Linked DNA regions of Canis lupus familiaris. The protein of the gene in region 1 interacts with the protein of each later gene in a pairwise test. Links are inferred from orthologs where the notes say so. Each region holds a gene or a part of one and is shown in the gene's direction. Other genes may lie near its edges. The genes, in order: GOLGA2, C14H1orf35, RAB39A, PRKAB2, NXT2, CHCHD2 and SCAF8.

What was found.
Region 2: the proteins of GOLGA2 (region 1) and C14H1orf35 interact in binary tests that used the Homo sapiens proteins (3 or more experiments, as listed by UniProt). The two-hybrid records come from large-scale screens. The link is inferred for Canis lupus familiaris from reciprocal best matches to the Homo sapiens genes GOLGA2 and C1orf35.
Region 3: the proteins of GOLGA2 (region 1) and RAB39A interact in binary tests that used the Homo sapiens proteins (3 or more experiments, as listed by UniProt). The two-hybrid records come from large-scale screens. The link is inferred for Canis lupus familiaris from reciprocal best matches to the Homo sapiens genes GOLGA2 and RAB39A.
Region 4: the proteins of GOLGA2 (region 1) and PRKAB2 interact in binary tests that used the Homo sapiens proteins (3 or more experiments, as listed by UniProt). The link is inferred for Canis lupus familiaris from reciprocal best matches to the Homo sapiens genes GOLGA2 and PRKAB2.
Region 5: the proteins of GOLGA2 (region 1) and NXT2 interact in binary tests that used the Homo sapiens proteins (3 or more experiments, as listed by UniProt). The two-hybrid records come from large-scale screens. The link is inferred for Canis lupus familiaris from reciprocal best matches to the Homo sapiens genes GOLGA2 and NXT2.
Region 6: the proteins of GOLGA2 (region 1) and CHCHD2 interact in binary tests that used the Homo sapiens proteins (3 or more experiments, as listed by UniProt). The two-hybrid records come from large-scale screens. The link is inferred for Canis lupus familiaris from reciprocal best matches to the Homo sapiens genes GOLGA2 and CHCHD2.
Region 7: the proteins of GOLGA2 (region 1) and SCAF8 interact in binary tests that used the Homo sapiens proteins (3 or more experiments, as listed by UniProt). The two-hybrid records come from large-scale screens. The link is inferred for Canis lupus familiaris from reciprocal best matches to the Homo sapiens genes GOLGA2 and SCAF8.

The regions. Positions count from the first base shown.
Region 1 is NC_049230.1:55,336,393-55,339,892, forward strand, and holds the end of GOLGA2 (golgin subfamily A member 2), read left to right. Parts: intron 1-621; coding exon 622-846; intron 847-925; coding exon 926-1,001; intron 1,002-1,201; coding exon 1,202-1,290; intron 1,291-1,563; coding exon 1,564-1,773; intron 1,774-1,856; coding exon 1,857-1,959; intron 1,960-2,042; coding exon 2,043-2,149; intron 2,150-2,226; coding exon 2,227-2,380; intron 2,381-2,468; coding exon 2,469-2,692; 3' UTR 2,693-3,434; downstream 3,435-3,500. UniProt on the Homo sapiens protein: Peripheral membrane component of the cis-Golgi stack that acts as a membrane skeleton that maintains the structure of the Golgi apparatus, and as a vesicle thether that facilitates vesicle fusion to the Golgi membrane.
Region 2 is NC_049235.1:508,157-512,279, forward strand, and holds C14H1orf35 (multiple myeloma tumor-associated protein 2), read left to right. Parts: upstream 1-1,345; 5' UTR 1,346-1,439; coding exon 1,440-1,533; intron 1,534-1,777; coding exon 1,778-1,928; intron 1,929-2,043; coding exon 2,044-2,089; intron 2,090-2,163; coding exon 2,164-2,246; intron 2,247-2,351; coding exon of another isoform or gene 2,352-2,424; intron 2,425-2,535; coding exon 2,536-2,624; intron 2,625-2,871; coding exon 2,872-3,006; intron 3,007-3,092; coding exon 3,093-3,373; 3' UTR 3,374-3,623; downstream 3,624-4,123.
Region 3 is NC_049226.1:24,556,081-24,559,580, reverse strand, and holds part of RAB39A (ras-related protein Rab-39A), read left to right. Parts: intron 1-1,923; exon of another isoform or gene 1,924-3,021; coding exon of another isoform or gene 3,022-3,119; intron 3,120-3,340; coding exon 3,341-3,500. UniProt on the Homo sapiens protein: The small GTPases Rab are key regulators of intracellular membrane trafficking, from the formation of transport vesicles to their fusion with membranes.
Region 4 is NC_049238.1:58,290,933-58,294,432, reverse strand, and holds part of PRKAB2 (5'-AMP-activated protein kinase subunit beta-2), read left to right. Parts: intron 1-1,228; coding exon 1,229-1,395; intron 1,396-2,230; coding exon 2,231-2,324; intron 2,325-2,556; coding exon 2,557-2,677; intron 2,678-3,500. UniProt on the Homo sapiens protein: Non-catalytic subunit of AMP-activated protein kinase (AMPK), an energy sensor protein kinase that plays a key role in regulating cellular energy metabolism.
Region 5 is NC_049260.1:83,436,371-83,440,639, forward strand, and holds the start of NXT2 (NTF2-related export protein 2), read left to right. Parts: upstream 1-1,469; 5' UTR 1,470-1,566; coding exon 1,567-1,664; intron 1,665-2,495; exon of another isoform or gene 2,496-2,513; intron 2,514-2,629; coding exon 2,630-2,717; intron 2,718-2,869; exon of another isoform or gene 2,870-2,991; intron 2,992-3,105; exon of another isoform or gene 3,106-3,109; coding exon of another isoform or gene 3,110-3,124; intron 3,125-3,719; coding exon 3,720-3,806; intron 3,807-4,269. UniProt on the Homo sapiens protein: Regulator of protein export for NES-containing proteins. Also plays a role in mRNA nuclear export.
Region 6 is NC_049227.1:495,444-499,627, reverse strand, and holds the start of CHCHD2 (coiled-coil-helix-coiled-coil-helix domain-containing protein 2), read left to right. Parts: upstream 1-1,384; 5' UTR 1,385-1,542; coding exon 1,543-1,592; intron 1,593-3,407; coding exon 3,408-3,654; intron 3,655-4,184. UniProt on the Homo sapiens protein: Transcription factor. Binds to the oxygen responsive element of COX4I2 and activates its transcription under hypoxia conditions (4% oxygen), as well as normoxia conditions (20% oxygen).
Region 7 is NC_049222.1:45,083,353-45,086,852, forward strand, and holds part of SCAF8 (SR-related and CTD-associated factor 8), read left to right. Parts: intron 1-1,692; coding exon 1,693-1,869; intron 1,870-3,007; coding exon 3,008-3,087; intron 3,088-3,500. UniProt on the Homo sapiens protein: Anti-terminator protein required to prevent early mRNA termination during transcription. Together with SCAF4, acts by suppressing the use of early, alternative poly(A) sites, thereby preventing the accumulation of non-functional truncated proteins.

The DNA.
Region 1 (3,500 bases):
TCGTCCTGGCTAGAGAGCTCAGGCCCCTAACGAGGTCAAGAGATGGTGCACCTCGGATTCAGCCCTGGATGCTACCCCCAGCTCCACCAGTCACTAGTCGCTTCTCATCTCTCAGCCTCAGGTGTCCTCAGAGATATTAGCATTTTGCTCACAGAGGTGTCAAGGATTATTATTTTTTAAGATTTTACTTATTCATGAGAGACACAGAGAGAGAGAGAGAGAGGCAGAGACACAGGCAGAGGGAGAAGCAGGCTCCATGCAGGAAGCCCGATGTGGGACTCGATCCTGAGTCTCCAGGATCAGGCCCCGGGCTGAAGGGGCCGCTAAACCGCTGAGCCACCCGGGCTGCCCAGGTGTCAAGAATTAAATGAGAAGCATGCCTGTAGTGTGAGGCATTCAGGGCGCACTCAGATGTCCATGGGCGCACTTTGCTTTTCCACTAAAGTGAAAATAGAAGGTGGTCATGAGGCATGAGGAAGGGTAAGGGAAGTGTGGGTCCCTGGATATAGGGGCAGTCACTGAAGTCCTAGAGCGAGGAAGCCAGGGGCCTGGGCGGGCCGCAGAGCCTCCCGCTTTCCTCTCAGCACGGGTGCCAGCCTTAGTCCCTGGGTCTTCCCACAGGTGGAGCTGAAGAGCCAGGAGGCTCAGAATCTACAGCAGCAGCGGGACCAGTACATGAGCCACCTGCAGCAGTATATGGCCGCCTACCAGCAGCTGGCTTCCGACAAGGAGCTGCTGCACAAGCAGGTGCTGCTGCAGACTCAGCTCATGGACCGGCTGCAGCATGAGGAAGTTCAGGGCAAGGTGGCGGCCGAGAAAGCCCTCCAAGAGTTACAGGAGACCCAGGTGAAGGGAGTTCGAGTACTGGGCCCCGAGGGGAGGGCCTGCTACCCGCATCCCTTCTCACTCTTTCCTGGCCCCTCAGGGACGCCTGGAATCTGCCACCCAGCAGAACCAGCAGCTCCAGGCCCAGCTGAGCCTCATGGCTATGCCTGGGGAAGGTGAGTAGGAGAGTGTCCAGGGGAAGAGGACAGAGCCCGAGGAGGAGGAGGGGTGACTTTGAGCAGCACAGAATCAAGTGTGACGGGACCTGTAGGACAGTGAATTCTTCTCTGGGGATGCACTGGCCCCAAGCTTTGTTCCCTGGCCCGCTTTACCTCCCCTGTTGGGTTGTCTGAGGACCCTCCATCTGCCCTGACAGGAGATGGATTGGACAGTGAGGAGAAGGAAGAAGAGGCTGCCCAGCCAAAGCTGAGCATGCCAGAGAACCTGGAGAGCCGAGAGGCCGTGGTGAGCAGACCCCCGCTGCCCCTTCCTCGTCCCACCTTCCCGCTTCCCTCTGTGGTAACCCCCTCCCAGGGGCACCCTCCTTTCTTCTTGGTTCCCTCCCTCAACCTCTCTCAACCCTCAAACCCATGGGACCCAGCGGTCAGCCTCGGCACCATCCTTGAAGCGCAGATGTGCCCACGAAGGCCAGGAGAGGAGGAGCTTCTCTCTGCCTTCCTGCCACCTGGTCACCCTGAGTATCCCCCACAAGAGCACACACACATGTCTCACCTGCAGGTGGCATTTTTTAACTCGGCCTTAGCCAGTGCTGAGGAGGAGCAGGCACGGCTGCGCGGGCAGCTGAAGAAGCAGAAGCTGCGCTGCCAGCGTCTGGCTCACCTGGTGGCCCCAGGCCAGCAGGTGCAGGAGGAGGCCGCAGCCCCCAGTGGTGACAGTGTGCCTGGGGAGACCCACCAGGCCCTTCAGGTGGCCATGGACAAGCTGCAGGTGAGCCAGTCGCTGGCCAGCCCTGGAAGGGTGGGGCCACCAGGGCGGGCTGCCTGACCCTGACCCTGCTGCTCTGGCCACAGGGCCGCTTCCTGGAGCTCATGCAGGAGAAAGTGGAGCTGAAGGAGCGGGTGGAGGAGCTGGAGCATTGCTGCATCCAGCTTTCTGGAGAGACAGACACTATTGGTGAGTGGGAGGGCCAGCACCCGGGGGTGGGGGGAGCCCTGTGATGGGTCCAAGAGCCTGAGCGGCAGCCCGTGTACCCACAGGAGAATACATCGCCCTGTACCAGAATCAGAGGGCAGTGCTGAAGGAACGGCACCGGGAGAAGGAGGAGTACATTAGCCGTCTGGCTCAAGACAAAGAAAACATGAAGGTAGGGGCCCTGAGCATCGCTGGGAGTGGTACAGGGCAGGGGTGGAACTCGGGGGTGCTCAGCACCTCTCCTTCCAGATGAAGCTGCTGGAGCTACAGAAACTGGTGCTATGCCTAGTGAGCGAGCGCAATGAACGGCAGGGCAAGCTCCTGGCAGCTGCCCAGGACCCCGCAGCAGAGCCTGCTACAGCACCCCCAGCCCAAGAGCTTGGTGCTGCCAATGGCCAGGGTGGTGAGTAGAGCCCTCAGGGTGGGTGGGGCGGGGAGAGCTCGCACAGCACTCAGAGCCCTGTTTCTTTCTCTCTCCCTGACCCACAAAGATCTTCGAGAGGTGAGCCTGGCTGACAATGATAATGTGGCACCTCCTCAGGGAGAGGCCCTACCAGGCCACAGTGCCCCTGAGAACCCCACTGCACAGCAAATCATGCAGCTTCTGCAGGAGATGCAGAATCCCCAGCCATACCTAGGTTTAAGCAAGAATCCCTGCGTCCCCTTCTTCTACCGGGCTGATGACAATGACGAGGTGAAGATCCTGGTGATCTAAGAGCCTGACACCAGCAAGCAAAACCTGGAGAAGTGGGGCCGGGGGCTCTGCTCCCACCCTGTCCCTGCCACCCTATCATTCCTTCCCAGTTACCCTTTTATCCCTAAACTAGCAAGATAAGACCCCTGAGAGGGGTGTGAAAAGCCTCCTAATTGGGGGAGACAAATAGGTGCAGACCTCTTGCCACCTTGGCAAGGGCTGTGTCTTTATCTGGACTACTCATCGTTCCAGAAAAACAAAGAGCCAGAGGCTCAATAAAAACATAGTTTATTTAGAGGGCTCCCTTTCTTGGGGGGCAGGGGCTCCCTGGTGGCCTCCTCACCCCCACCAAGCAGTCCTTCAGAGGGGCTCAGGCATCCTCTATTCAGAGGCACTTTGGGGAACAAGTGCTCCCCCTGTCCAGCTCAATGACTGGGCAGCACTCTCCCAGGCCTTAGGACAGTTGGGGCTAACCCAGGCCAGGCAAAGGCATAAGCTGGTGGGGGGGGGGGCTCCCTCCCCAGTGTATATACTGTACCTGTGTAACATTTTGTATATTCTGGGGATAGGGCAGCCCCCTGTATCATAGCAGAGGTTGGAACTGGCAAATGGGGAGGAAGTTCTATTAAATATTTGGGGATGAGGAAACTTATTTATTGATAGCATAGGACAGAGGAAGGAGGCGGGGACGGGGTTCCGCCCAGGTGACTCACAACTTCTGTTTGCTTTTTATTTCGGAATAAATGGATTTAGCCATACTGTTTAGCCTTGTGTGTGCCTGTTTCCAGTCACTGGCCCCTAGGTCCTGGAGTCTGCACTGTGGGCATTG
Region 2 (4,123 bases), on another chromosome or scaffold:
AGGGGCCCTCAAGAAGAGAGTGGGAGGAGCAGGGTGTCAGGGATGCTGGTACGGGCTGTCAGTGGACTGGCCCACAAAGGGAGGTGCCTTCAGCTGGGCTTGTGGCCCCTGTGACTACAACAAACCTGTGGTCGGCTGCCATTCTTCTGCTCCAGTGGTGGGTTTCAGCCTGGCCAGGCTTCTGCAAGACCAAAAGGCCAAGTCCCAACATTTCCACTTGTCGCTGGCCTGGCCCAGGCCTGCCTCTTGCCCTGGCCTGGGCTGTCAGGACTCTTGGAAACCTGAGTGAGTGCCCACCGTAGGGCACTGATACAAAAGGTGGGGAAGGTGCCCACGTTCTATGGGAGGGGGCTGTGTCTGGGCTCCTGGCGAAGGGTGCTGCATTAAGCACCCACCTTTGGACTCCTAAGTCCCTGGTGGTCCACTGAGTTTCCTGGCCACGCGCAGGGTCCTGGGAACATCCAACGGCATTGTCTGCCCTTCCCTTGAAGTGGGGTCACAGCAACGATGCAGGGGTCAACAGCAGAGCAGAGGGTGAGCGGGGCAGGGACAAGTGGGACTTGTAGCCACAAGGCAGGGTGGGTGCTGGTGACGGAAATCACTAAGAGGGCCCCCCCCCGCCCCAGGCAGGGGGTTCTGGCAGAAACCACCTACTGAGATTGCTGCTGGTGGGCCTGGCAAGACCTCCACTAACGCACGGGCACCTGCTTAGCTTCTGAAGGGGGCCGGAGGTGGCAGGCTCTTCACCACAGCGGGTGACACGGTGAAGTGGACGGAAGGCCCAGGCCCGTCTGCAGCGCTCTGGTCAGTGGAGGTCCCATCTGCACCAGGTGTTCCTGTGTGTGGGCCCCCGACCCCCGCTCCGCAGGACCTCGCCGCCGCCCACGTGGGGGGCTTCACACACTGTCCATGCCGCTGCTCCCCCGTGTCCAGGGCTCGGAGCTGATCCTGCTTTGCCCAGCACAGCCGCCCCCCGCGGCGCCAGAGGAGCCCGTGCATTGGCGCACCTGCGCCGTCCCGCCTGCCCTCCACGCTGGGGTCTCCAGGGGACGGCCCCGGGAGTTGCAGGCCGTGTCCCGCTTCTCCGGAGCCGAGCCGCCCCCGGTGCCCGCTCCCGGCACTGCGGCCCCACCCGCTCGCCCATCTCCCGGCACAGCCCCAGGACCGTCGCCCGCACAATGTGGCTCCCAACGCCGGCAGGATCCTCGGGACCCGCCTTGGCGCCTACGCCCGCTCCCTTCCCGGGCGGTGCGCCTAGCGCTGGGGGCAGGCGGGGCGGCGGGGCCGGGGAGCAATGCGCAGGCGCTTGCGGCGCTGCCCGGGTATGCGCGAGTGTGACGTCAAGGCGCGCGACGCGGCGGCGGGACCCCGGCGCCGGCGCCGCCCGGGGCGGCCAGGCCAGGGTTGACGGAGGCAGGGGCGGCGGGCGGCCTGGCACCATGTTCGGCTCCAGCCGGGGCGGCGTGCGTGGCGGGCAGGACCAGTTCAGCTGGGAGGACGTGAAGACCGACAAACAGAGAGAGAACTACCTGGGTCAGTGCGGCGCCGGGCCCGGGGGCGGGGGGGGCGGGGGCGGGGGGGCGGGGGAGGACGCCCGAGCTGCCGTGCGCGGTGCCGCAGGTGCGGGAAAGCGGGGTTGCGAGGTTCTCGGTGTGGGCAGCCGGGGGCGCGGGGGCGGGGAAGGAGAGGGCGCGAGGTGCGGGAAAGGGGGGCTGCGGGCGTGGGAAGGCGGGGAGCGGCGACCAGCGGGCCGAGCAGTCGCGCTGCGTCCCCGCAGGCAACTCGCTGATGGCCCCCGTGGGCCGCTGGCAGAAGGGCCGAGACCTCACTTGGTACGCCAAGGGCCGGGCGGACGGCGCGGGACTGAGCCGGGAGGAGGAGCTGGCGGCCGTGCGGCAGGCGGAGCAGGAGGCACTCATGGCGGCGCTGTGAGTGGGCCCCGCGGGGTCGGGGGAGCTCGGGGGGCCCGGGGGCGAGGCGGGGTCCGAGGGGCAAGGCCAGGGACTCCGGCCGCCGCCTGAAGCTCGCCCGCGGCCCCCACAGAGGCTACAAGAACGTGAGGAAGCAGCCCACTGGCCTGAGCAAGGAGGTGAGCGGCGCACGGGGGGCGGGGCGCCCGGAGTCTGTGCGAACCCCCGCCTGAGACCCGCTGGCTCCGCACAGGACTTTGTGGAGGTCTGCAAGCGAGAAGGAGGGGAGCATGAGGAGAAGGGAGTGGACCGGCTGCTGGGCCTAGGGAGCTCCAGGTGCGTGGCTGGGGGGTGGAAGGGGCCCTCCCCAGGTGGACGCACCGCCCCGCCGAGGGAGGCCTGGGCCTTCTCACCGTGGGGTCCTCGCCTGCCTTCCCGCAGCGGCTCTGCAGGCCGAGTGGCACTGTCCCGGGAAGACAAGGAGGCCGCCAAGCTGGGGCTGTCGGTGTTCACGGTAAACCCCCCTCTGCGGGCGGGGCACCCCAGAATCGGGCGGGCGCCGAAACTGGGACGCCCCCCCACAGCCCCCTAGAGTGCCTTCCTTCCTTGCTCCTTCCCTCCCCAGCACCACCGCGTGGAGAGCAGCCGCCCAGGGGCCTCCCCCACCTCTGCTAGGAAGAAGCCTCGGTTTGAGGAGGAGAAGGTGCAGCCTGGGTAAGGGCTGCTCCCACCCCTTGGTCCCAGGCCCACCTGCTGGGCTCCCCCAAGGGGGAGGCAAGGTGCACTCCCACCCCTGCTTTTCCTCCCTGGATGGGGAAGCAGGGCGCCTTCCTACCTCTGCTGCTCCTGGCAGTTTCCTGCCACAACGGGAAGGAAGGACCGCTGTACCCACTGGCCACAGGGAGGGGGGGGTGTGTCTGTGTGGACAGTGCACAGGGGACGCCACCCCACGTCCCTGCAGCCTGGAGAGCCACAGGAAGAGCAGGAAAGAGAAGAAGAAGAAGAAGAAGAGGAAGAAGAAGCACAAGAAAGAGAAGAAGAAAGACAAGGCACACAGGAGCAGGGTGGCTTCTCCACTGTCTCCAGCTCCTGCAAGGTAGGTGTGCTCAGCCTTGCCGGGGCAGAGGGAAGGTCTGGGGAGCAGGGCAGCCTCCCCCTGACCACATGTCCCCATATCCCCAGGCCGGGGCACCACCAGTGCGGCTCTGACTCTGAAGATTCCTTGCCCTGCTCCAAGAGGCGACGCAGCCACCACAGTGACTGAGGCCAGATCACAAGGGGCCCCCATGTCCAGCAGGGGACCTGCCCCGGGAGGACACACTTGCCTGGGAAGGCCCCGAGACACTTCTATTTTTCTTCAACTCACTTTGTACTTAAATAAACTTATTTTAAGGGGAAAGCCTCTCATCCTTGAGGGAAGGTGGCTGTCATGTCCCAGTAAAGTTCCAGCAAGACCAGCCTGAGACCCTGCTGGTAGGGCGGGGAGGGGGGGGGGGGGCGGGCTCTCCCTGGGTTACCATGTCCAACCCCAGGGCACAGACGTGCACCTGGAGCCAGCAGTGTGCCCCACCCCTGGGAGGTGAGCACCTAGTCATTAAACCCTCCTATTACAGCCTGCCTGCAGGGAGGATGAAACCCAGGGTGCACTCATGATTGTGAAACTGGCATCTTTGGCTTTAAGTCATCAAACTAAAAACGATTCTGTCTTCATAACCCTGGCCCTGGTGTTTCAACCTGGTAGTGGTATAAACAATCTTGGGCGGGGGCCAGACTGGGCGCCCCCAGCCAGGAGAAGGAACCAGACCAGCATGCCCAGTCAGGTGGGAGGGATGGTCTCCAGCCAAAGAGCCACTAGGAGCCCTGCCAGGGGTTTCCTACCCCTCAGGAGCAGGCTGGCTAGCAGGGATGGGCGTGGACAAGAGCAGGCCTCGGGCACACCCAGTGTGGTGACCCTGCTGTCCCTCCACGTCCCAGTCCCACAGAATAGACCAGGGGCTGCACTAACAGTCAGCGGGTGGACGATGAGAGGGCGCTGGGTCATATGCACACCTAACACAGGGAGCAGTGAGCCACACCATGTAGGTCCCTAGCCAGTGACATCCTCTGTGCACAGTGGTAAGTGTGGGTCAGTGGCACCCAAGCACTGGAAAGCCATGAAATAGTTAAGAGATTTTATTCTAGTAGCTATAATTACAGTGCTTGTTTGTCGAAAT
Region 3 (3,500 bases), on another chromosome or scaffold:
CAACTCTGGAATTCCTTATAGGGAAGCTGACCTACATAGTTCTCTCAGGATCTGTACCCTACTTCTTCTGATACTTCCAAGAACTCCTAGAGACCGAAGTATGACCCAAAAGAGCAGGCCCAGAAAAAGCTAAATGTTCCTTACCCCCTTCTAGAAGACCTAACTCTCACATTCTAGTTTTCAGGCTGTAGGCTTGTCTCTTCCCCTGAATAATTGACAGCAGGGATGCCCAATTGTTTTAGGGAAAACCTACCCCCTGGGACAACTATATCTGAATGGGAAGGCTAACATATCAGAATTCTAAACCTCTTATCCATACCCACATATAGAAACTGAAGATCAGGTTATTACGTAGAAAATGACGGATGTCATATTGAGACCTTTTATTCCAGCTAATCTATTATTAATAAGGGCTGTTTTAGAGTGTACATGGCATATACCTTGCTGTAATTTTGTTCTATAGAATTTGCCAACTGTATTCCAAATGTGTTTGCAAAATTAGATATAAAGGGCTAGAAAACATGGCATTTTCTACAGTGTGAGATATGGCTCTGCCTAATATACGAGCGTTTCAGCATTGAGTTTTCAACCACAAAAGCATGTTTTTGTAAATTAAACTCATGGTAGATTAAATAGGAGGGGGAATCAAAGTAATGCAGACTTGGTGCTGAGTAAATTAAAGCTTTCAGTCTAGTAACAGCCTTAATGTCGTTTCTCTTACAGCACTGCACATCTGCCTGAATTCACACATATCAAGATAAGTAGCAAAACAATAACAAATTATCCCTCAATGTTTTTTTAAAGCAACTTAAATGAACCCCATTATTTGAAGCCTGTGAAAGATAGTGGGAGATTTTTCTTACTAACAGTGGCTATGTAATCCAGTAGTCCTTGAGAAAACATTCCTAAAATAGTCACTTGAGGGCAGCCCGGGTGGCTCTGCAGTTTAGCGCCGCCTTCGGCCCAGGGTGTGATCCTGGAGTTCTGGAATCGAGTCCCACGTCATGCTCCCTGCATGGAGCCTGCTTCTCCCTCTACTTGTGTCTCTGCCTCTCTTTCTCTCTGTGTCTTTTATGAATAAATAAATAAAATCTTAAAAAACAATAGTCACTTGACAGTCTCTACTAAGAATTCTCAGGAGAGGGTGCCTGGGTGGCCCAGTCTTTTAAGCGTCCCATTCTTGGTTTCAGCTCAGGTCATGATCTCAGGCTCATGATATGGAGGCCTGTATCAGAGGAGTCTTCTGTGGATTCTCTCCATCAGCCCCTGTCCCTGTGTTCCCTCTCTCTCTCTAAAATAAATCTTTAAAAAAATTCTGAGGAGAAGCAGGGAAGCAAATGAAAGGGAAAGAAAAAAGAGGTGAAATACTTTCTTCCCACATCCACAACAAATGGTGCTTGTGATTTCAGCAGGAAAGATAATGAAGGAATGCAACAGATGGAGAGAGTACCAGGTGACCTACTGGCCTTCCACAAAGATCTTGGGTGGTCAAATGAGTTTACTTAATGATCATCTCAATGCTCAAGACCATTGACAACTTAGAAACAGACATTTGCAATCTCTGCCTCGTACAACATTTAGCACTTTCCCTCTCCAATAAGACTAATCAATCCAATATAACAAATACTAAGCAACATATATCATTTCCCAGGTAATATGATATTAGGTATTGTCAGATACCTAGAGGAAAAATGACCCTCAAGGAGTCTTGAATTGAATGGGAGACATACCAACCGGTCCAATCAGCACATTGTGAAAATGGATATAATCATAATGGCAGTATGCCAGAGGCTCAATGGAGTTATAACAGGATTGCCTAAGAGGACAAAAGGTCAGTGGCAGGGAAAGCTTCTCTATACATGATTTTTTTAAAAGATTTATTTATTTATTCATGCAAGACCCATACACAGAGAGAGATGCAGAGACACAGGCAGAGGCAGAAGCAGGCTTCTCATGGGGAACCCGATGTGGGACTCAATCCTGGATCCTGGGATCACACTCTGAGCTGAAGGCAAACGCTCAACTGCTGAGCCACCCAGGCATCCCTATACATGATTTTTGAGCTGATTCTTGAAGGAGAAATAGGAGGGTAGAAGACATTCTGGGTAGAAAAAATAATGCATGTAAAGGCAAGAAATATAGAACAGTATGGCCTTAGCACCTTGCCTCATGATTCAGTCAGGAAATAGCACATGTGAAGGGTTAACTGAAAGTTTAGCAAAGTGACTATTTCTAGAAATGTGGGCAAGGTGAACAGCATCAATCAAGGATGGTGAGGCATTCAAAGTTAGCCACAGTGAGAAGCCATCCACCACCTGACCAGCAGAGGGAAGAGAATGAGATTACCTGAACCTGGTGGAACCCATTAGAAAGGTGCTATTCAAGGGGAACCACAACCAGAAACAGGAACATAGCTGCTGTGAAGCCAAGAGTGGAGATGGAGAGGAGGGTATGTAGCTGGACCTCTTTGCTACCCAGCTGGTGCTCCCATTGGCTGAACCTCACTGCAAGCCCAAGGGTGAGGGAGTTTGGGAAAGCTTTGAGGCCCAGAGAAGAGCAGAGACTAGATCTAGAGGGACAGATGGAATCCCTAGCACACCTCAGATTCACACCCCATGTGCCAGCAATTTCCTGTTTCTTGAAGAGGTATCACACAGGACTGTAGCTGTGACTCACATTATAACAGGTGCACCCTCGTTTCTTCTTCAATGGATAGAGAGGGGCTCCTTGCATTAAATAACAGGAAGAGAGATTTTTAAGATCTGGTTGGCTGGGCAACCTCTGCTCTTCACCATATCTTTCTATATTCCTATTTTTAATCACAGTAATGTAATAATTACTCAAGCAGATAGTTGAAAATAAAAACAGTCCTAAGTGCAAGATAACATACCACTTAAGTTCTTTTTGTCTATCTAAAAATAACTACACTTTAAATGTTCTGTCAGTGGATGAAACTGGCTTGCCTATTAGTTTCAGAATATTTTTGTCCACTTAAGACACTTCATATTTGGGAGCACCCCGATGGCTCGGTCACTCAGTGAAGCATCTGCCTTTGGCTGGGGTCTTGATCCCAGCCAGGGTCCTGAGATTGAGCCCCGAGTAGGGCTCCCTGCTCAGAGGTGAGTCTGCTTCTCCCTCTCCCTCTGCCTCTCTCCCTGCTCTTGCTTGCTTGCTCTCTCCTCTCAAATAAATAAAATCTTTTTTAAAAAGACACATCATATTTGATTTATAAATTCTGGTCCAGGTTACCTTCAAATTTTATTATGGTGCTACATTGTTTGAAAGAGGAGAAGCAGAAAAATTTGTCCCTTTACAACCTGTTTTTCTATTTCTTTTTCAGATCAATAACTCGATCTTATTACCGCAACTCAGTTGGTGGATTTTTAGTATTTGACATTACCAACCGACGATCTTTCGAACACGTGAAAGATTGGCTAGAAGAAGCAAAAATGCACGTTCAGCCGTTTCGGATTGTATTTCTGCTGGTGGGACATAAGTGT
Region 4 (3,500 bases), on another chromosome or scaffold:
TTTACTTCAGTTTATGCTGTTACTGGTGTCTCATTAGTATAGTTTTGAGGAATATTGAGAGACAATATGGAAAGTAGACTACCTTAGCCATTTTGAAAGTAAAGCCCATGTGAATAAGTTAATCCTTTTTTTTAACCCACATTATTTTATTTGGTGACATTTTGACTTGATACAGTACAGTCCTATTTACCGAAGTCATTTAAACCATTCTGAAGTGGGGATCAGTAGACTTTTTCTATAAGGGACCAGACAGTAAATATTTTAGACCTTGTGGGCCATACAGTGTCTATCACAACAGTTTGGCTACTATAGCATGAAAATAGCTGTAGATAAATATGTAAATGAGTGAGTGTGGCAATTTTCCAAGAAAAGTTTATGTATAAAAGCATCTGGCTCACTGACCATCTTCTGCCAACTTTTGTTCTAAAGGATGGTAATGAAAATAAACTAAATAAGGAGTTCATTTGTTTTTTCTTTTTAGAATCCTTACAGACCTCATTTGCTATTGAAACGGCTTTTGTTAAAGGAAGCTTCCTTAAACAAAAGCCATGTTTTTGATCTGATGTTTCTTGAGGGTCCAGAGTTTTCATCCTCACTCCTGAAATAATTAGTATATACCTGGCAGGAGTGAGCAAGATTTATAACCACTTCTCAAAATTTAAGAAACCAATGATACATGATTTTTTTATGCTTTTAATGTCCTTTTGTAACCTATTAGCTAAAATGAAGTTTATTAATTATTTACGAATTACAGTATCTCTAACTTGCCGATAATTGAGAGCTGATCATACTTACGTATGAAAAATACATGGCCGAGTTCATTGCTTTTTATGGAAACATACTTTTTTTCTTATTTTTTTCTCTTAAGAGGTACTCAGAAGTATATCATAATTGCCTGCCTGTGGGTTGATCTGGTAACTGGGAGTAAGCACACCCCCTCCCCCAACTTGTTTTAAAGGGAGATCCGAAGGCTCTGAAAGGGTGAGTGATACATGCAGACTCTAAAGTTAGGTTGTGATTTGGTCAACCCCTGAGCATAAGCTGTTTGACCATTTGGGTCCTAGATGACTTATTTTTCTATAGTTTGTTCAAAATCTGATTCAGCTGCTAATTTCAAGGATTATTGATTCTTACCAGAAACATAGCACCCCTCTCTGCCCTAGGGAGGAGAGTGACCTTTTAAGAATTCCTGGGTCACAATTTAGGGATGACCTAATCCTTCTTACAGCTCCCTGGGGACAAAGAGTTTGTATCATGGCAACAGGATTTGGAGGACTCCGTAAAGCCCACACAGCAGGCTCGGCCCACTGTTATCCGATGGTCTGAAGGAGGCAAAGAGGTCTTCATCTCTGGGTCCTTCAACAATTGGAGCACCAAGATTCCACTGATTAAGAGGTGAAGACAAGTGTTCTTGGTTGAGTCTACAGGGTCCAGGAGTAGGGACCTGATTTCCCTTCTCAGGAGAGAGACCTGGCTGGACTACTCCTCTTCACCAGCTAGGGACTCTCTCTAGAATATTTTCTGTGACCAATAACTACATCTGTGACCTTTTTTTTTTTTTTTTTAAATCTCAGTGAGTCAGAGATGTTTTACTGATTGGAATATCATTACCTCAGGGGAACTTATTCACTTTGTGGGTACATTCTTTAGGACTGTGTTAACACAAGTCCTGTCTATGCTTGTGGGAAGTCATCTGTAACTGGCTGAGTCCACTTGCTGTGACTTCTGCACTAAAACAAAACACATGATGTTCTAGGTAATAATGTGAATTGTTGCTTGTAGAGCAATAATGAATTACTTGTTAATCAGAATGGCTCTTCATTTATATATAGGTCATTTTTTCAGAAAAGGCTCACCAAAATTTGGAAGGGGTATCTTGAGGCACTTCTGTATTCTGAAGCTACCTGCTATCTTATTTACACTTGTGAGGGATCTGTTCCTAAAGCAAATTAGTTGCACTAAGGTGAACCATTTTGGGGGATTAACATCTATTATTCTTTTCCAGATATTAATTAAGAACTAAAGTTATTGGGATGGGCTGGCAAATATATGCTCAAGGTGATACAGATAAGGAGAATGAGTCTATAAATTATTTTTATTCCATGGGTAACAATCGCTTAGGATTGTGGGAGATCATTGGTATGAAGTTGTGAATGTCTCATGGTTTTTATATTTGCATTCTGTTTTCTAACAGGAACTTGGCCTGTTAACTTTGTGTTTTCTTCTGTAGCCATAATGACTTTGTTGCCATCTTAGACCTCCCTGAGGGAGAGCACCAGTACAAGTTTTTCGTGGATGGACAGTGGGTTCATGATCCGTCAGAGGTAAGGTCTTGATCTCCAAGGGTAGCCATTATCTTAACTATGTTCTTTTGGCTGTTACTCCCTTTGGTATCAAACATCATTCCTGTCAGGATTGATGGGCTCCTACACTGGAGGATTTCTCTCTTGATTAAAGATGGAGGTGCTAAGTATGATCATTTTTTAAAATAGGAGAGTTAGATGGAAGCGATGAATTAAAACAGGGTTTATGAATGTTTTCCATTCGTTGTTTCAGCCTGTGGTTACCAGTCAGCTTGGCACAATTAACAATTTGATCCATGTCAAGAAATCTGACTTTGAGGTGTTTGATGCTTTAAAACTAGATTCAATGGAAAGCTCGGAGACATCTTGTCGAGGTAATTTTGTAGTATTTGCTCTTTCTTAATGTGTTTTTCTTACAATGCAAGTTTTTTCCTAAGAGTGGTTTTTGTCTTCATTTTCTCCTCAAGAATCTTCTGAATCATATATGCGTTATATGTACATATATGTATATTTTTCCTCTAAACATTTAGATCTCCTTCTCTGAGAGAAAAGAAATCTCAGTGTATTTGATTGAAAAGCTTTTTAAAAAGATTTCATTTATTTGAGACAGTGAGAGAGAGCATGAGCTGAGGGAGATGGAGAAGGAGAGGCAGACTCCCGGCTGAGTAGGGATCCCTATGCAGGTCTCTCTCCCAGGACCCTGGGATAATGACCTGAGCCAAAGGGTAACTGAGCCACCTAGGTGCCCCATGATTTCAAACTTTTTAACTAGGATCTACAGCAAGACATTTGTTTTACATTATAACTCAATTCTCTCTCTCTCTCTCCCCCCCATCCATCCCCCCACGCCTGTAACACAAGTCTCAGCAGAATGTGTGTCTTTGTTACATGTGATACCCCCTTTTTTTTAAGGGATTTTCTTTAGTTTTTCTTAAAAAAAAAAAAAAGATTTTATTTATTCATGAGAGACACACAGAGAGAGAGAGAGAGGCAGAGAGGCAGAGAGGCAGAGACACAGGCAGAGGGAGAAGCAGGCTCCATGCAGGGAGCCCGACGTGGGAATCTATCCCAGGTCTCCAGGATCAGGCCCTGGGCTGAATGTGGCACTAAACCGCTGAGCCACCCGGGGTTGCCCCATGTGATACAGTTTATTTTCTATTTTTTCCTTTCTTTCATGAGCTACCAAAGTGCTTTATA
Region 5 (4,269 bases), on another chromosome or scaffold:
AAAATAAGCATAGTTTAGGGACAATGAGTGGCTCAGTGGTTGAGCATATGCCTTTGGCTCAGAGCATGATCCCAGGGTCCCGAGATTGAGTCCTGCATTGGGCTCCCCACAGGGAGCCTGCTTCTCCCTGTATATGTCTCTGCCTCTCTCTCTGTGTGTCTCTCATGAATAAATAAATAAAACCTTTTTTTAAAAAGTGTAGTTTAAGCACATACGTGACTAGCAGAGTGTCTAAGAGAAAAGACTTTGGGATTACACAGCTCTGGGTTGAAATTCTAGCTCCACTAGCTATGTCATCCTAGCCAATTTACTTAACCTCTTTGAATTGCAGTTTGAGTTCTTAAAATTTTAGATAATAATTTGTCTCTCTCCAGGGGTCATGAGGATTGAATGAGATTATAATAAACACCAGACACCTATTCTGAGCTCTCAATTAATAAGCATAATTACCTATAAAGCAGTAAACACAAGTCATTTTTGGCAAACAGTACTAGTTAACTTTGCCGATGTTGGTGAACAATGAGAGAGAAGTCTGGAATGGCAAATTGAGACTAGACCAAGGTAGGTCTTAAAAGATTAGAAACATTTTGGAAAAATGAGAAGTGAGAATATTTGCATATAGAGGAGGGAAAGGGAGAAGAGGATAAGGGGAGAGGAGAGGAGAGGGGAGGGATGGAAAGGATAGTGGAAAGGAGATGGGTAGGGGAGCAGAGTAGAAGGGAGGGGGAGGGGTGGGTACTGGCAGGGAGGGGGAGGGATGGAAAGGGGAGGGGAATGGAAGGGAGAGGAGGTAGGGAAGGGGAGGAGGGGAAGAGTCGAAGAAAGGGAGGGCGCAGTGGAAGGTATGGTGGAGGGGAGCAGAGCAGAAGAGGGGGTGGGGACTGGCAGGGAGAGGGGGAGGGAAGGGGAGGGAAGGGGAGGATATGGGAGGGGTCAGCGGAAGGGAGGGGGCAGCAGAAGGGAGGGGGAGAGGAGGTGAGGAAGGGGGGAGAGAGAGAGAGAGGTTGCCTAAAAAATGAGCCAAATTGAGCAAGTTACTTGGAATTCCTCTGTAGTTCATAAATGTTCTGTTTATTGTCTAGAACTCCCATTACATTGTGAACGTTATGTGGAGAACCTTGCATAACGTGGTAGTCCATAGTAAGTGTTCAATATTTTTTGAACAAACAAGTGAATTACGATGATGGGGGTGCTAAAAATAGAGTCCAAGAATTCAAGCATAGATGACTGAAAGAATACAGAAGATTGGAATTGCAGAGGAATTAAGGAGTTTAAATTTTGGACTCTTAAGAGTTCGAGAAACCTGTAAAGCATTTCTGCTGTTCATATCTAGTGAAATTCCATAAGCGGAACTGGACATCGACGGTGGGGGCTGGAGATGTGTCGTGAAGATTTATTAGCATATGAATAGCAGTTGAAGTCACGTGGGAGGAAGGAGGTTTTTAAATAAGAGACACCCCCGGAAGTGACGCCAGTAAGAAGGGCGCAGGGGAAGAAAGTCAGTCTGCCTGCAGTTGAAGGTAGTTTGAAGAGCGGAGCGCTGTGGGGGGCAAATAAGATTCAAATATGAGAAGATTCAGAAGAGACTGGGCTCATAGAAGGGACTCAGGAAGATACCAAAGAAGGAGAGAATATTTTGATGAGCCAGAAACCAGCTATTCGAGGTAAGACTATAGCGATAGCTAATTGATTTAACCATGCAGAAGCTGTTGGTGCCTTTGAGGTGAACGGTTTTAAAGGATGCTGGAGAGTGAAATCAGGTTGTAGTGGTAGTTAAATTGCTTGAGCTTGAACCCCAATTAGTTTGTGACTCTCAGTGGGTTCCTTAATCACAATGTGCCTTAGCTATAAACTGGAGATGGTTACCTCATAGCATTATTAAAGTAATAAGTGAATATCGATTAAAATGCTTAGAAAATTACATTGCTCGTGGTCACCACGCAGTAAAATTTTAGTTGCAGTTAGAAAGTAGGCTGCAGAAGGTGGTGAATGGCAAGGTTTGCTAATCTTCATTTGGAGTCTGAGACCAAAATTTGGGCATGAAGGAACTTGATAAGCCTTTTCTTATGAATAGCAGAAAACCAAATCATGAATAATTTTAGGAATGCTGCTGAGACCGTTGGGATTCGATTTAGTGAGGCTAGATTCTTCCAGAATGTTCCAGAACTTTAAACCGTTCTTTGCCAGTCATGCGCAGTGTGGTGGCATCCCTCCCCAAACTCCACCCCTTTTTCCTATAGTCTACAGTTCCAGTAGGTGTCTCCTCGCGTTTCTCGTTGGTCTTCTGCTATCCTTGGCCCCGCCTCCTGGCGCAAAGAAGTCCCCCTATTGGGCCATTTAGATTTTTTTTTTCTTGTCCCGCTTCGTGAGGGAAATGGATACTTTTACTTGGAGTATCTAGTTTACGAAAGCAGAGGATTTTTTTCTTCCCAACCAAGTAGATAAATAGCAACCAAATGAATAGAGGAGGCAGATGGGAGGGTACGGTCGGAACTGAAGGAAGTGTACTTAAGGTTGGAACATCGGGGTGCTTTTAACAACGGACCGAGCTACTTCCGGGAGAGAATGGGCGGGTAGAGAATTCGGCGTTTGGCGGGTTTAGCTGTCTTCCTAAATTTTGGTCCTGCAGCAGCCGAGGGCGCCCGACACGTGAAGAGGTAGTGACGCCGCCACTGCCGGAACAAGCTGCTTCGGGGTCCCTCATGGCCACGTCTGTGGTGAGTGCTGGGGCCACTGCAGGGTGCCGAGGCGCCGCGGCTCGGGCAGCTGAGGGGAGGGGCGCTGGGGCGGGCAGCCTGGTGGTCACGTGGTCCCGTGGCGAATCAGGGCCGGGCCCGCTGGGCTCCGGGGCGGGGCCCGCTTTCTGTAGCCCCCTTGGGTCGCGAGCCCACAGATTCCCCCGCCGCCCCCACCCCTTGGCGTCCGTGCAGTCCCTTTCGATTGCTGCCAAGGACCCCGAGATGAGAGTTGGCGGGAAGCGGAAATGTTGGGGTCTGTTTATGGCTTGCGATTTTTTATTCTCTATCATCTCCCTCTCTGAATGACTTTCGATATCCTGACAGGGAAATGAAACGGATTCTTAATTCAAATAATAGGCTGGGCTCGGCGAATGGCTGGGAGAAAGGTACCTATTAAATCATCCGGCAGAAGAAAAACCCCAACAGCATTTCTCTCCTTCGGTTCGACAATTCTTTACAAATGCCGGTGAATTTTTCCGTCATGTGTAGAAGTTTCCTAACTATATAGTTTTTCAAGCATTTCATCGAACTTCGTTTTATACTCCATTTTTTCCCCCACTGAGTAACTCTTTGTCCTGAGTTCTGGCTTAAAGAGGGAATTCAGCACTTCCACCACCACCCTGCCCTTTATAAGGTTCAGACCACATCGTTTTTTTAAGGTGAATGTTTTGTAAGATATTGGAAGCGTAAGGTACTTCCAGTACCAGTTACCAAGCAAACATAAATTCATATTTGAAATGAGAAAAAAATTCACTATTGAGGGATGAGTATGTCCTAAACACATGTACTTTAAAATGGGGGAAAATAAAAAAACTGGAAACTTTTGAACCCTGACCTTTATAATGTCCAAATATCGATGGAAGAATGTGAACTGTGTATGCAGCTACAAAGTGATTGAAATACGTGACCAGCTTTTGTTCGTTTTCTCTTTGTTAGGAGTTGGAGGGGTGGTAATGTGCACTTCTGAATTTTTTCTTCTAGGACTTTAAAACTCACGTAGATCAGGCATGTAGAGCTGCTGAGGAATTTGTCAATATTTACTATGAGACAATGGACAAAAGAAGACGGGTGAGCCTTATAGACTCTACTACACTTTGTTAAGTACCAGGGTTTTTTGTTTTGCTTTTTGTCTTTTTGTAGCCATCCAGTCATCTGACTTGCATAAGTGATAACTGTGGGCTTGTTCTTTAAAAGTGCATTTTTTAAGGGAAGGATTGGTTATGATACTCTGGAAATGTGGGCTCTGGAGTCCCTCTCTCAGCTTTGCATTTACCTAACTCTGTGACCTTGGGTAAATTGTTAATCTCTCTTATTCTCTAGTTTTAGGGAGAGTAAATGGGAATTAACTTACTGCACTTGACATGGGGTTTGACATATATTTACTCAAATATGTTACCTTTTTTAACGCTGTCATTCAGCCAGTATACTTAAAACAGTATCAGTGCTAGTGAAGGAGTGTGCCATTACAGGGAATGTTCCTTGAACTGTTTAATTTCATATATTATTAATTTCTGATTAAAGCTCAAAGCTG
Region 6 (4,184 bases), on another chromosome or scaffold:
CTCTCCAAGCACACTGCACCCAATTCTGCCCTTCTTTCTCTTGACAGTTTATCATCATATCTTTCATAACAATATAGAGTTTATTCCCTTTTATAGCTGTATATTGTGTGCTGCGCCTTTTTAAAAAATTTGTATTCTACTGACAAGAATTTGTTTCCAATCTTTTACTAGGACAAAATAATCTTGCACAAATATCTAATATTCTCTCCTCGGAGTGGGAATTCATGATTCAGCCAGGTGCGATTAAAATCGTCTCTGTTAAAAAAAAAAAAAAAAAAAAAAAAAAAAAAAAATCGTCTCTGTTATGGATGTTCATTCTGAGCGCTTGTGCCAGGATGTCCTTATAAGGCTCCTTTCCTCCGTCTCTGCTTATGAATTCTCCAGAGAAATGTCACGTCATTTGTAAAGCTTTCATTAAGTTCTGTGAAAATAAAACTTTTTCATGACAGGTCTTTGGATTATTTACCCTTCGATTCCACGAACATTCTGCTGTTACTGGAGAGAATGCGTTGAACTCCGCGACCTCAGGCGGAAGGGGAAAATTTCTCTTCGACGTGCAAGCCACCTCCGCTCTCTCCCCTTGCCCGGAGCCCTCCCGGGAGCGCCCCGAGCCAGCTCCTCCGCTCCGGAGGCGCGCGGACGCGTCCCAGGGGCCCCGCTCCCTCCAGCCGCCGTGCCCGGCGCTGGTGCGAGCCCCTCCCCGGGGGCCTCACGCCCGGTCTCGCCCACCCTGCCGAGGCTGCCCGTCACGGCGGCTCGGGGTGTGCAGGCTGTCGTGTGTCCCCTCCTGACCCAAAGTCCACGAAGAAAGAGTCTCGTTGGAGCCAGCGCCCGGAAATCATTCACTACACTTTTGATTATCAGTGAACGAGCACTACCCCGATTACGGGCACAAGCGCTATGGCATGTACGAAAAGGGCCCGGAAAGGTAGAGGAGCCACGGTAAGGCATTATTACGGCCTGAGTCCACAGGTAAAATAAAAATGGGATCACCTCAGCTCCGCGGGCCCTGCCTAACGCATCCGCTTTCCTCCGTCCCGCTCACACCATGTGCCCACACGGTGCCTCAAAAGATCCTTACCCAAATACGTAACTTAATGCTGAGGAAAGTTAACTAAGGTCCGGTGGCAGCCGCGCCGACACCGGCCTCCCTCTCAGGGCTGGCTTCGTCCCCCCGTCACCAATAGAAACGTCGGCGGAAGGCAGCGACGCTTTTAAGCAAAAGCGAACGGCTCTGCCTCCCGCTGGGCTGGGAAAACAGGCGCGCGGGGCACCTCCAGGCCTTCCGGTCTCCCGGGGCAGCCTGGCGCGGAGCTCATGACGCACGCCGCGTCCGACCCGGCGCCGGCGTGGCGCGTGCTCTTCCAGTGACCTTCAGGGCCCGCGGAGACGTAGGCGCGCGAGGCCTCTGCCTGTGCGCTGATTGGTCGCACGCCGAGGCCAGCCCCACCCCCTGTTTTCCGGTCTCTGGCTCCCGCCGAAGCCTCTGGGGTCTTCGCCGAGTGTCGGGCTTCTGGGCGCCGTGCTCCTGTCCCAGTAGACATGCCGCGTGGAAGCCGGAGCCGCGCCTCCCGCATGGCTCCTCCGGCCAGGTGAGGCCCTTGCGGGGTCTGGGGCCCTGCCGACGCCGTGACGCATGCGGAGGCCGGGCGGAGGCTGGTGGAGGCCGCGGAGGGGGCGGCGGAGTGCTGGGCGCCGGCCGAGGGCGGGTGTGGGGGTGAGGGGGGTACCGCTGTGAGGTGGGCCCGCCCCCGCCAGGGCATCGTGACTGGGCTTTGGCCACATTTCCCGTTGGTGGCGAACTTTCTGATTTCGAATGCCCGTGAGTTCTTAAAATATTCGAGAGCTCATTTAAAAAATGCTTTACGTTTATTGAAGTGAGCTCTGCACCCGGCGTGGGGCTGGAACCCACGACCCCAGGATCTAGACGCCCCTCCCCCGATTCAACCAGCCCGCCCAGAGCGCATTTTAAGTTAAAACGGTCATATCCTGGAAGTAAATGAGTATTTGTAAGGGTAAACCGGCCCAAGCTTCTGAAGTAAATAAAAAGACAAAACGAGTATCGGTGAAAGGTAGTATAATGGGGAGAATGATTGCATTTCAGTAAACAGGGTAACCTGCGAGCCCACAGAGAGCGGTCCAGAGGCTCGGCCCAGCGACCGAAGCCTCCTTGTACACGACATCGTCTAATTCATAAAACACTTTAGAAATATACTGGTAGGGATCCCTGGGTGGCGCAGCGGTTTGGCGCCTGCCTTTGGCCCAAGGCGCGATCCTGGGGACCCGGGATCGAGTCCCACATCGGGCTCCCTGCATGGAGCCTGCTTCTCCCTCTGCCTGTGTCTCTGCCTCTGTCTCTCTCTCTCTCTGTGTGTGTGTGTGTGTGACTATCATAAATAAAAAAAAAAAAGAAGAAAAAAAAAGAAATATACTGGTAGTTACACTTTAACACCCGTAACCTTAGGGATAGATGTTATTCCTGTTTTCCAGGAATAAGGAAACTGGAGCCTCGGAACAAGTGACTTGTCCGAGGTCACCCTACCAGTAAATAGGAAAGCCAGGTCTGGCCCAAGTCTTCCAACAACCGGTTAGGGTGTTAAACACAGGACCACGTTGCTTCTCTGGAGTGAGGTGGATTGTGTTCAGACTGTATGCTAGGACTGTAGGACAGTCCTTCACTTAAGGGAAAGAAGCTGTTCTCCAGAGGACAGAAAAACCAAATTTTTATAAAGTGATGCCAGATACCACCTGATTGGAAGCAAATTCATAAATTTCCAACCTAGGGGCAGCCCAGGTGGCTCAGCCGCTTAATGCTGCCTTCAGTCCAGGGCCTGATTCTGGACCCCCAGGATTGACCCCCCCGTTGGGCTCCCTGCATGGAGCCTGCTTCTCCCTCTACCTGTGCCTGTGCCTCTCTCTCTCTCTCTCTCTCTCTCTCTCGGTCTCTCTGTCTCTCTCTGTGTCTCTCATGAATAAATAAATAAAATCTTAAAAAAATAAACTTCCAACCTAGCCTTATTTGGGGGAAGAGCACCCAAGGAAACAGTCTAAAAATGGCCAGAGGGGACATCATGTGTGAAGACTTATTCTAAAGCAGGATTGAATATTAGTGAAAGCCTCTAGCTGGAAGCCTTACCAATAACATAAAGTCACTTAACACGTATTTTGTATATATGTTATAATACTGTATTCTTAGAATAAAATAAGCTAAAGAAAAGGTTACTGAGAAATCATAAGAGAAAGCACACACAATACTTATACTGTGTTTATTGAAAAAAAATCCACACATACTGGACACATGCAGTTCAAACCTGTGTTGTGTGAACAGTACAGTTTCTTTAGATGACAGTATCCAAGCCTGGTAGGAAGTGGGCACTTTTCATGCTTTTTGTTCTTTTCTTTCTTAGCCGGGCACCTCAGATGAGAGCTGCGCCTAGACCAGCGCCAGCCGCTCAGCCACCAGCAGCAGCTCCGCCATCTGCTGTTGGCTCACCTGCTGCACCCCGACAGCCAGGTCTCATGGCCCAGATGGCAACCACTGCAGCTGGCGTGGCTGTAGGCTCTGCTGTAGGGCACACGATTGGGCATGCCATTACTGGGGGCTTTGGTGGAGGAAGTAACACTGAGCCTTCAAGGCCCGACATCACTTACCAGGTAAGATTTTGGGCAGTGTTTTCTTTCATTGGGTAGGTTACAAGAAAAGCTAGTTATTTGTCAGTTCCTTATGTATAGGAGCTGTGAATCCATGGTCCTCCTAACAGAAAATGGTTTGTCAGAAGCCATGTTTGGCAGTTGAGTTAGTGCTTTAGACCAGCATCAAGTACTGTCCACATTGTATTTGTTCCCAAGGAGTAGAATAGCAGTTCAACCTGATTCATTGTAGAACAGCCATTTTCCCCTTATTTTAAATTTAGTTTCAATCTTAAGTATTGAAAAACCTTTTTAGTAGCTTTAGTAGAGCTCTCTGACCTCTTATCTGGTATTTGCCACTGCCCCTCTTTCTGAAGTATGTGAATTTTCTCCTCTGATGAACCTCAGTGTGGACTCTGTTGTATTTCTGGTGTATTTGACATGCTTATCCGTCTATTTTTCTATTATAGTCCCACTTTCTCCTCTGAACTACATTGAACCCCACTGGTATTTAGATACGCATGTAATCATTTAACTTTATTTGCATCTTTGTT
Region 7 (3,500 bases), on another chromosome or scaffold:
AATGAATATGTGATAAATAGTAGGGTTGCAGACTCTCTAAAATGACCATCTCAAAAATAAAAGGGACCATTTTAGAGTCTTAAACATGGAAAAACCAATTCAGTTATAGTTCTAGATTTGATCCAGCTTCTCCATTTTGGGGGCAGTTGGGAAACTGAATTGGATACTAGATAAAATTATCAAATTATTAATTTCATTTTGTGATAATATTTTAAAAATCATAAAGCACATGGTCTCATTTAAAAGAAACTTATTAAAATAAATACTTTTGGCAAGAAAAGTGATTTTTCCAGAACAGATAGTAAAAGAGAGTTAAGAACACATAGTAATTGATAGAATGATAAGTCAGAGTAGAAGGAAAAGTAGGATGCTGCAGTGGTTTGAAACTGACTGAAACAGTAACAGTGCTATCTGGAAAAATGGGGATGTCAAAAGCAGCAGTTAAAGTGTGTAGAGGAGAAAATACAGTATTAACTCTTTACCCCCTTTTTTCCTCCCTCTCTTCTTCTCCCTCCTTTTTTTTTCTCCTTTCCCTCCTCCCACTCCCTCTCTCCCTATCTGTTCTGGAACCTCCTCAGTGTAGTAACTAAGCTATTAGATATTTTGGTATTACTTTCTTTGCTATCACATTAGTAGTTTGTAGCCATTGTTTATTTGGTTGCCAAATGACTCTAGTTTGTTTCTTAATGTAGCTATTTTAGATAGGCATGAAATTACTTTCTTCTTGGATGGCTTTTGTACCTTCTCTCACTATAAGTTGATCTTTATTTAAAACAGTTCACATGTCTTGTTTCTATTCTAAATTGATAATTTTCAGATTTATACTCAGGTTTAGGTCTTGATTTAGGAAAGTATTAATTATTTCTAAGATGTACATAGGGTTTACTTAACTATGAAATATCTTCAGGATCTTAGTGTTTGTTGTTTCTGCTTTTTTGAGGATAGATGAATAGAGGGAACAGGGATTTATTTCAACTCCTTTTGGCACTATTCACCTTTAATTTCCTTAGTTTCAGACTGCTCCAAGAGACCCAATTTCATACTTGTTTTTCTGCTTTCAGGAATTGTGTTGTCCAATGGTAAATCTGAAAGATAGCAAAAGCAGTTGTTGTCAGTGCTTGTTCTTTTACAGAGATTAAGGAGTTAATTGAGGAAGGAATGAAAAGCTTAGTGAAGGGGCACCTGAGTGGCTCAGTCAGTTGAGCCTCCAACTCTTGATTTTGGCCCAGGGTCATGGGATCAAACCCCATGTAGAGCCCTGCTTTGGGAGCTCTGCTTCAGGTTCCCTGCTTTGGGTTCCATGCTCAGCATGCAGTCTTTTTGGGGCTCTGAGAGGGGGCTCTAAATAAAAGAGCTATATGTGATGAGTTCTTTATCTGTCATGGTATGACCACACACACCCGGACTCTAAATAAAAGAGCTATATGTGATGAGTTCTTTATCTGTCATGGTATGACCACTTTATTTGGCTTAAGTTCCCTGGCTTTCTAGAAGCAAGACAAACTTATTAAGGATTATTGTATATGGGACACACAAAAAATATTTTATTAAAAAATTAACTTGTTTTGAGTTAGTATCTATTTTTTCTTCATCTCCAAAGACTGTACAACAATGAATGTTATTGAAAAGATGGGCATTCTTACAGATAAATTCTGCATCTGTTTGTAATAATTTTCCTTTTTTCTCTTCTAGCTTCAGCAGTTGATACAGACTTTACAACTACAACAGCAAAAGCCTCAGCCTTCTATTCTTCAGGCCCTGGATGCTGGTCTTGTTGTGCAGTTGCAGGCTCTCACAGCACAGCTTACTGCTGCAGCTGCAGCGGCCAACACCCTGAACCCCTTAGAACAGGGAGTGGCTTTCAACAAGGTAGACATTAAGTTATCAGATCAGTTCTGTATGAAGTATTAAACTCTGTATGCTATCATATGGATTCTAATTCTGTAAATAGCATTTTATTATAGAACCATTCTAGTATACGCTGTACTGTATAATTCATTATGAATTTTACGAAAGATTTACAGATTTCTGACGGATATGGTAACATTGAGGCAAATGATAATTTTCTGAATTTTCTAATTTCTTTTATGTATGTTACAAATATACTAATTTTGATGTTCTATATTCTAAAATTTTAACCTGCTAAAATTATAATTGTTGAAAATGTGAAAATTCACAGGAAAACTTCTCTACACTGTAATATTATAAATTGAGGCCTATCTATAAAGGATAGTGGTTTTAAAGTTGAAATTTTTTTCATGTATAATTTATTGTATAATAGCCTCAATATTCTTGTTAATTATAAGACTATTAAAATACTTGGAAGTATTATCCATATTTTTGTTTCTGCTACTTTATTTTTAGGAAAATACTGATTTATTATGTTATTACTTAGACTTTTTTAGCTGTCAGCCTAATTTAGTCTGAAAATTTAATAGTTACACCACATAGGGGGCACCTGGGTGACTCAGTTAAGCATCAAACTCTTCATCTCAGCTTAGGTCTTGATCTCAGGGTCATGAGTTCAAGCCCCGCATTGGGCTCCATGCTGGGCATGGAGCCTACTTAAAAAGCTAAACCGCATAAGAAAAAACTTCAAATTGATCATTTAGAAGACAGTAGAGCATCCTAAGAAGAGAAATATACTAGGAATAGATCTGTTGATTATAGTCCTAGGTGTTTTTAATCAAGCTTTATTACTATTGGCAAGGCACTTAATTATTTTAATCCAGTCTTCTCTTCTACGATCATTAATATTTAATCTGTGTTGTGATTTGTTATATAAGACAGTGTATGTCAAAGTACTTTAAAAATAAAGATTCATTCAAATTAAATGCTTTATTATAGCACAACAAAATTATATAAAACATTTATGTATTATGTGATAGAGGTAAATTAATGGGATGTCACTGACATTCAGAATAGCACTTCTACCTTATTTTTGTGTAAAGCACTTTTAATCTTTTTCTCCTTTTTTTTTTTTTTTGTTTCCCCCTTTCTCACTTAGAAGTTGATGGATAGGTTTGATTTTGGGGAAGATTCTGAGCATAGCGAAGAACCTAAAAAGGAAATTTCAGCTTCTCAACTGTAAGAATTGTTGTTTTTCTTTATAACCATAAGTTTTTCCCATTATTATTATAAACATTGGATGGGACATTGTTTTCTGAACTACCAAGTATACTTTGAATAAATTGGGATATAATTTCAGGCTATTGAGCTCTAACATTACAGAAAGATGGTAGATTTGCTGTCTTGTTGCCTCCGTATTTATTTTGACTCCTTTCTCAGATCTTTGCAGTTAATTTGGGATATATCAAAATCCTTTATAGAAGAATTGTAGATACAGTTGTGATATTTTCTATATCTGTATTAGGCTTTAAGTTATTTAATTGTAAGAATATTTGAAATAATGGGAAAGAAGCTTGCTTCTAGTGTCAATGACCAGTTCTAGGAATTTTATCAAATTCTGGGAGTGTATCTGACTCCCAGGATTGGGATTA